2 linked regions of the Rattus norvegicus genome follow. The main gene of each other region encodes a partner of the protein of the gene in region 2 in a complex. Links are inferred from orthologs where the notes say so. Each region holds a gene or a part of one and is shown on either strand. Other genes may lie near its edges.

Region 1 (3,654 bases), on a different chromosome or scaffold from region 2:
GCATTGATAGGAACACAAATAACCTGGCTGCTTAAAGAAGTGCTGAGAAGGCCTGATAATTGGGTTCAGTGTACAGCTGCAAGGTAATCAGTCTGGGAAGTTTAAGGCTGCCATGGATGGGAGCAGTGGTCCAGGGCTCTGCCCTGGGAAACCTTTAACTCTGGGTTTGCATCAGTATGCTCTGGCTGCTGTGGAAATTTGTTTACAGTAAATTTGCCTTGGCTTTCTATTGTTACTGGGTTTCATTAAAACGTCCCCCGGCTTCAGGTACCAAGTCCTTCTTTAGTGTTCAGCTTACTACTCGTTTGTCCTTTTTTAAACTTGTTTATGGGAAAGTCATGTTTTCTTAGCTTGCTGTTAACTATCGTGTGTGTGATTTTAGGAGGTTGGCATAGAATTTGGCTGGCTACGTTAATTGTGTAATCAAGCTGTGCCTCCGTAAGGATCTGTTTAAAAAAAACTTCCATTAAAAACTCTGTAGTTTATAGTAAATAATTGCCTTGTTTCTGAAAACGTTAACTGTAATTGTCACAGATCACAGTCATTGTTGGGTTGGGGCAGTTTACAGAGGGAGGGATGTTGTGTGGGATAGAATGGTGGTTTTCTTCTGTCATTGCCAGTGCTGCTGTTCTCAGTCTCCCGTGTAGCGCTTGGCAGTCTAATACGCATACACTGTTGCCACCGCTCAGGTGCCCTTGTTCTGCATGGTACACAGATCTCACCTGCAGTGCTGTAACTAACCTTACACAGTGGGAAAGAGAAGGTTTTGGTCCATTCGCTCTTTATATAGACATCTACAATTTCATCTATTTTAACTTTGGCCTATATGCTTATTGTAGAAAAACAGAAGTTTTTAAAGGATGTCCTGAAAGTGTACATGAATGAGCTAGTAAGACCTTGGGAGTCAGCGCACACCTTCTCCCTTGTTTTGGACTCAGTACCTGGAAGCTGGTTCCTGTAATATCTGAGGCCCGTCCGCGCTCACCAGAGGATTGGTTCAGAAACGAGAGAACTCTTCATGAGTTTATTATACCTTTTGTCTAATCTCATAGGCTGTTCTTAGAAAATAAACTTGAACCAAGTACAGTCGTGCACATTTGTAGTCCCAGTTGAGGCAGGAGGATCACCTAAATCTCAGGAGGTTGAGACCAGCAGAGCAGAGCAGCATGGTAATGCCGTGTCTCAAAGAAGAAAGAAGAATTAGAAGTCGGAGAGGCTGTTAAGCCTTTTTTGTAAACTGATGCTTAACTATAGCCCCCGCTTAGCTGTCTTTCTGTTCCCCTGGCTGACTGTCCTAACTGCAGGCTTCCAGATTAAAGTCAACTACACATGTGTAACAGATCCTGTACGTCAGCAGTGCTCTGAGCCACATTCTGGAAGTATTTTACCCACGCCACCTCTTACCTAAAGAACATGCAGTCAATTTTTAGTAATAATTTGATGCTTTAAATAATTGTTCATCTCTTTAGTCATGGCTAAGATAACCAAATTACCAAATCATTTTTTATACCAGAGACTTTATATTAATCTTCAAGTCTCTGACATGGAAAAAAATACTGCAGTCTTAAAAAAAATTTTTTTATAAGATCAGAGCAAGGTTCAAAATTAGGTTCATCAGCCAGTCTAAAAATTGAGGACGTTGAGCTGGAGAGAGCGGTTAAGAGCACTGGCCTCTCCTCCAAAGGACCTGGAAGCAATTCCCAGCACCCACATAGCAGCTTCTAACCGTCTTTAATTCCCATTCCAGGGGATCCACAAGCCTTTACACAGACGTGCACGTAAAAATAAATATTTTTTTAAAACGAGAACGTTGAAGGTTGGGTGTGGTAACTCATACCTGTAATCCCGACACTCAGGGATAATTCTCCTGCCGAGGCAGGAAAATTATGAGTCGAAGCCAGCATAGGCTACAGAGCAAGACCTTGTCTTAAAATAAGATAAAATAAAAATGTTGAGAATATCATAGCACGCTCATTCTATTTATAAACCCTGTGTGTCAGAAATGAATACAAAACTGAGTGCTGGAAATTCTTGAAGTATTTGAAAGGCATCAGCTACATATAACATTTATTTCAAAACGGTATTTTTATGTATTCCTTTTATAGATACTTCAAAGCCTACCATTTAATAAAGAAAACATGAGGTTGGGTAATTGGCTCAGTGGTTAAGAGCACTGGCTGCTCTTGCAAAAGACTTGGGTTCTATTCCAAACACCTACATGGTGGTTCACAACCGTCTGTGACTCCAATTCCAGGGACTCCTACACCCCCTTCTAGCCTCCTCAGGCACTAGGCATGTATAGATATGTATACATAAATGCAGACAGACACACGTAAAATAAAAATAGACACAGAGAGCTCAGCAGGTAAAGGTGCTTGCTGCCCACGTTGGTGACCTGAGTTCAATCCCGAAACCCTGTAAGGGCGGAAGGTGAGAACTAGCTGCATGGTTATCTGCCGTCCACCCACTTGGAGCACACGTGCCCGGTGCAGAACGCTTAGCAATGACTTCTCACATGCAGAAGGGCAGCACTTGCTATGACGATGACAGTGAGTGGTGCTTATGCAGACTCACCTGGATAGAGTATTATTGCTGTCACAGCTTGCCACTTGCTATGACCCGTGAAGCTTGCCCTCACTCACTGTCATTCTGTGCTGTAAGGTGTGGATCCAGAGTTGTATGAATTAACAACTGCTAAGCTGGAGACCTCCACCTCAAGCCTCAGAGTGACTGACGCATTTGCGAAGCTCATGTCTACAGTGGAAAAGACGAGCACGTCGACCAGGTAATGAACCGCAGCTTCACCCTAACTGTTTTCTGGTTTAAATGGCCACAAGCAAAGCGCGCAAGAGGTCGTGCTTGTGTGTTAAACCGGCTTTGTACCTTAAAGCCAGTGGATGGCAAAGCTGGAAAACATCACGTGGATGTTGAACGGTGAGCTTTCTTCGGAGAGACTGACAGGTGAAGTTTTCTTCTCCCCACCCCACAGAAGATGATTCTGATTAGTATTGATGCTGATGCCTCTGGGGAACATCCCTGTCCTTTCATAATTATGGAGAAAAGCGTTTTCCAGAACCAGGCTCAGTCTTCTGGTGCCACATAAGCTCCCGTGTTCACTTTGAAGCTATGACGGAGCCCTAAGATATTTTCATCTTCAGTACATTTGCTGCTGTGCACCTGACTGAGCTGTCGCTACCAAACTTACAGAAGCCTCTAGCGACGTCATCTCCTGCCTTCAGAGCCAGAGACAGGGAATGTCTCTTGGACATTCTGCTTAGGGTTTGACACAGTTAAGTAGCCCGTGCTTTGAGCCCACATTAAGCACAGAGAAGCCAGTTCTTAGTAGAAGGCAGTTGAGACAGGACACCACTAGTGCCAGGACAGGTGCTGATTGGTAAGCTGACTTCTCTGACCCCAGTCACCGTCATCCATCTGCGCCATCAGGAGGGATGTTTATGTCACTTGCCCACTTTGGGGATTTTAGAATTTCCTGTTGAATAACAGACACCATTTAGATTTATCTTTTAAAGTTAATTCTTTCATAAGGAACATCTTTTTCTATTTTTTTAACTTAAACTTGAACAGTTGCAGTCTCTTTGGGTTGTTAAGTTTGTTTTTGAGACAGGGACTCAGTGCACAGCCCTGGCTGTCATG
Region 2 (3,654 bases):
CTTGGACAGATATGGGCCTTAGCTAATCGAACTACGCCTGGCAAGCTCACTAAGGAGGAGCTTTACACCGTTCTCGCCATGGTAGCAGTAACACAGGTAGACTATGTGTCGGATGTCAGAACAAGTGTGTTGTTTCTATAGACTGAAAGAGTGTGAGTCCTTTTTCACCCTAGCCTTGTAGATTTCCCTGTACATTAAAATTTAGATGCTTTGTGATACAGTTTTCCAAAAATATATAATCCATATAATGCACATCCTAGCAAGTTATCCCTTTGTTTGAAAGTGAAAATAAGGGGCTGGAGAGATGGTTCAGCGGTTAAGAGCACCGTCTGCTCTTCCAGAGGTCCTGAGTTCAGTTCCCAGCAACCATGTGGTGGCTCACAACCATGTGCAGGTCCTCTTCTGGCCTTCAGGCATACATGCAGGCGGAGCTCTGTAGACATACTAAATCTTAAAGGAAAAGAAAAAGAGTTGCTGTGGGCATGGTGTCTTTTCACTGCAATAGAAAGTGAAAATAATGGATGAAATCAATTTTTGCCCATACTTAGAATTCCTTAAAGTATACTTAGGTTGGTAACAAGTTTTCTTATATTTTGAAATTAGTTTAGGTTCTTTGATTTTAGCAAATTAGTCAAACTTATCAGACAAAAAAATGTCACAGTTGATGTGTGCTGACCATGTCTAAGTATTAGCGTTGGGTGTTTTAAATGAGGAGACAGTGGATGGATAAAATAGGCCCACATTTGCTGCATGAAAGGATGGCCTTGCATAATTACATTTTTAATAGTTAGAACACTAGAGGATCCTGCTGCATTGTCCTCGATACTGTTCTCCTGCTAGCAGACAAAGAAAGAGAGACAACAGAAAAGCTTCCTGTAGCTCTCTCTTGCACAGATTTTGAGTATGGTCTGCAGCTGGCTTAAAATGTTTCCATTTTCCTGGTGTTCCCTATAGAGAGGTGTTCCTGCCATGAGCCCTGATACTTTGAACCAGTTCCCTGCGGCTCCCATTCCTACCTTAAGCGGCTTTCCTATGACTCTGCCTACCCCAGTGAGCCAGCCAACAGCGATGACCTCTGGCCCCGCAGGCTCCATACCCCTCAGCCTTGGACAGCCCATCATGGGCATTAACCTTGTTGGACCAGTGGGTGGAGCTGCAGCGCCAACTTCCAGTGGCTTCATGCCAGCCTACCCCTCAAACCAGGTAAGTGGAGAAGCTTTGTGTGTGCCAGATCATTCCAGAAAGTACATGTGGGGAGCTTTCCTTCAGAGATTCAGTCTGCTGGATTATAGCAGGCACTTGATATGGAAATTAAACAATGTGGAGACAGGTGTGATTCATCTGTGAGCTCTCACCTAGGATACTCTACTCAAGATCTACATGTAACCCCACCTCTTCAAAAAATAAGATAATTTTTAAGTATTAATATAATATAAAATTGTTTGTTTTTGTTTTCAGTTATTCTTTAAATACACAAAATGTTTGTTAAGAACTAAGCAGTTGAGGAAGATACGTAGTGTCAATCTCTGTCCTTTTACACACACACACACACAGACACACACGCATATACCACACACATACATGCACACACACACGCATATACCACACACATACATGCACACACGCACACGTATGTACCACACACATGCATGCATATATGCACATGTATGTACCACACACGTACATGCACACACATGTATGTACCACACACTTAAATGCACACACATGTATGTACCACACACATACATGCACACACACATGTATATACTACACACTTACATGCGCACACACACGTATATACTACACACTTACATGCACACACATGTATATACTACACACTTACATGCACACACACATGTATGTACCACACACTTACATGCACACACACATGTATGTACCACACACTTACATGCACACACATGTATGTGCCACACACGTACATGCACACACATGTATGCACCACACACGTACATGCACACACATGTATGTACCAAACACGTACATGCACACACACGTATGTACCACACATGTACGTGCACACACATGTATGTACCACACACGTACATGCACACACACGTGTATGTACCACACACTTACATGCACACACACGTGTATGTACCACACATGTACATGCGCACACACACACACACACGTATGTACCACACATGTACATGCACACACACAGATTTAAGACCAGACATGGTAGGTAGTCCATACCTTGATTTCAGCAGGTGGAAGTCAGAAGCAGATCTCCGAGTTTGAGGTCAGCCTGGTTTACATAGAGTTCCAAGCCGGCCAGGGCTACATGGTATATCCTGTCTCAAAAAATTCACTTCTCGGATTAGCAAACCAATATTTTTAATGTACAGATATATGATGTCATATAAGAAAAAATGACTAATCCTGTAGGTTCATTGGCACAATTATTTGAAAACCTGCACCTCAGAGATGGCAGCTGAGTTAGCAGGGTTAGGAAGTCAGCAGGGCATGGCAGGATGAGCTGTCACACAGTCACATTCCTAAAGTGCAGGGCAGTGCAACATGAGCTTGTTCCATAAAGCAAATGGTCCATGAGCAGTCTGCTGCTCTGAGTGGTGACCTGGAAGCCAGTGTTCGCTCCATGTGTGTGTACAACTGGTTATGAATGCATTGACTGTTCACAAGCTTCGTGTGTCTGTAGGACTGGTTATGGGGGCTCATGCCATGACTGTTCACATACACTGCTGTCAGCAACCAGACAAATAGAGTCCAGATACTTTAAAAATGTTAGGTTAGCTATTCAAGCCAGTCCTTTCATTACATTTGTGCCAGAGAACACTTTAAAATTTGAGACAGGTTCTTGCCTCAGGCATCTCTGTTGTTGTATCTCAGCTGCGTTCTTGCCTGGAGCTGTATGTGAGCAGTGGTAGGGCTCTAGGATGTGTCTGATATGCACCAGACCCTGTGTGCATACACTAACACACACGTGATTATGAAATTAGGCAGTTGGAATTAAATTGAGCAATTGAATGATAGTCTCTGAGGTTGATGTGTGGAGAGGAGTTATTTACTTTGGCAATCTCGTTTTCCCTGTGTAAATATCCTTTGACGGGGTGGAGTTGCCTGAAAGGCCTCAATCGAGAAGATGCTTCCATAAGATCCAGCTGTAGGGCATATTTTAAATTAGTGATTGTGGGTGGTGCTGTCCCTGGGCTGGTGGTCCTGGATTCTATAAGAAAGCAGGCTGAGCAAGCCAGTAAGCAGCACTTCTCTGTGGCCTCTGCATCAGCCCCTGCCTTCACATTCCTGCCCTAAACTTGAGTTCTTGTCCTGTCTTCCTTCTGTGATAAACAGATGTGGAAGTGTAGGCCCAATAAACCCTCTCCTCTCCAAATGACTTAGTCCAGTGTTTCATCATAGCACTAGTAAGCCTAAGACAAGTTGGTACTGGAGTACAGCAGAGCATTGCGGTGACCGACCTCATCATGTTTTGGGGGAGGATTGTAGAAGGACGTGGAAACTTTGGGCCAGAAAAGCCATTGAGTGTTGAGAGCTAAATGAACGATGATGCAGAAGCTTGGGAGATGAGAATGATGAGCGTAGTGCAGACGACGGAGGCCTGGCGTGTGAAGTTTCAGAGGGAAGCAAAGACTCTACTGGGCCTTTTGTGTGAGC

The links. Proteins that work in one complex are often made in the same cells at the same time.
Region 1: Synrg (region 2) and Aftph share a complex: the UniProt entries of both Homo sapiens proteins name them as parts of the aftiphilin/p200/gamma-synergin complex. The link is inferred for Rattus norvegicus from reciprocal best matches to the Homo sapiens genes SYNRG and AFTPH.

What each region holds. Positions count from the first base shown.
Region 1 is NC_086032.1:99,078,151-99,081,804, reverse strand, and holds part of Aftph (aftiphilin), read left to right. Parts: intron 1-2,661; coding exon 2,662-2,785; intron 2,786-3,654. UniProt on the Homo sapiens protein: Component of clathrin-coated vesicles.
Region 2 is NC_086028.1:69,374,474-69,378,127, forward strand, and holds part of Synrg (synergin gamma), read left to right. Parts: coding exon 1-96; intron 97-954; coding exon 955-1,203; intron 1,204-3,654. UniProt on the Homo sapiens protein: Plays a role in endocytosis and/or membrane trafficking at the trans-Golgi network (TGN). May act by linking the adapter protein complex AP-1 to other proteins. Component of clathrin-coated vesicles.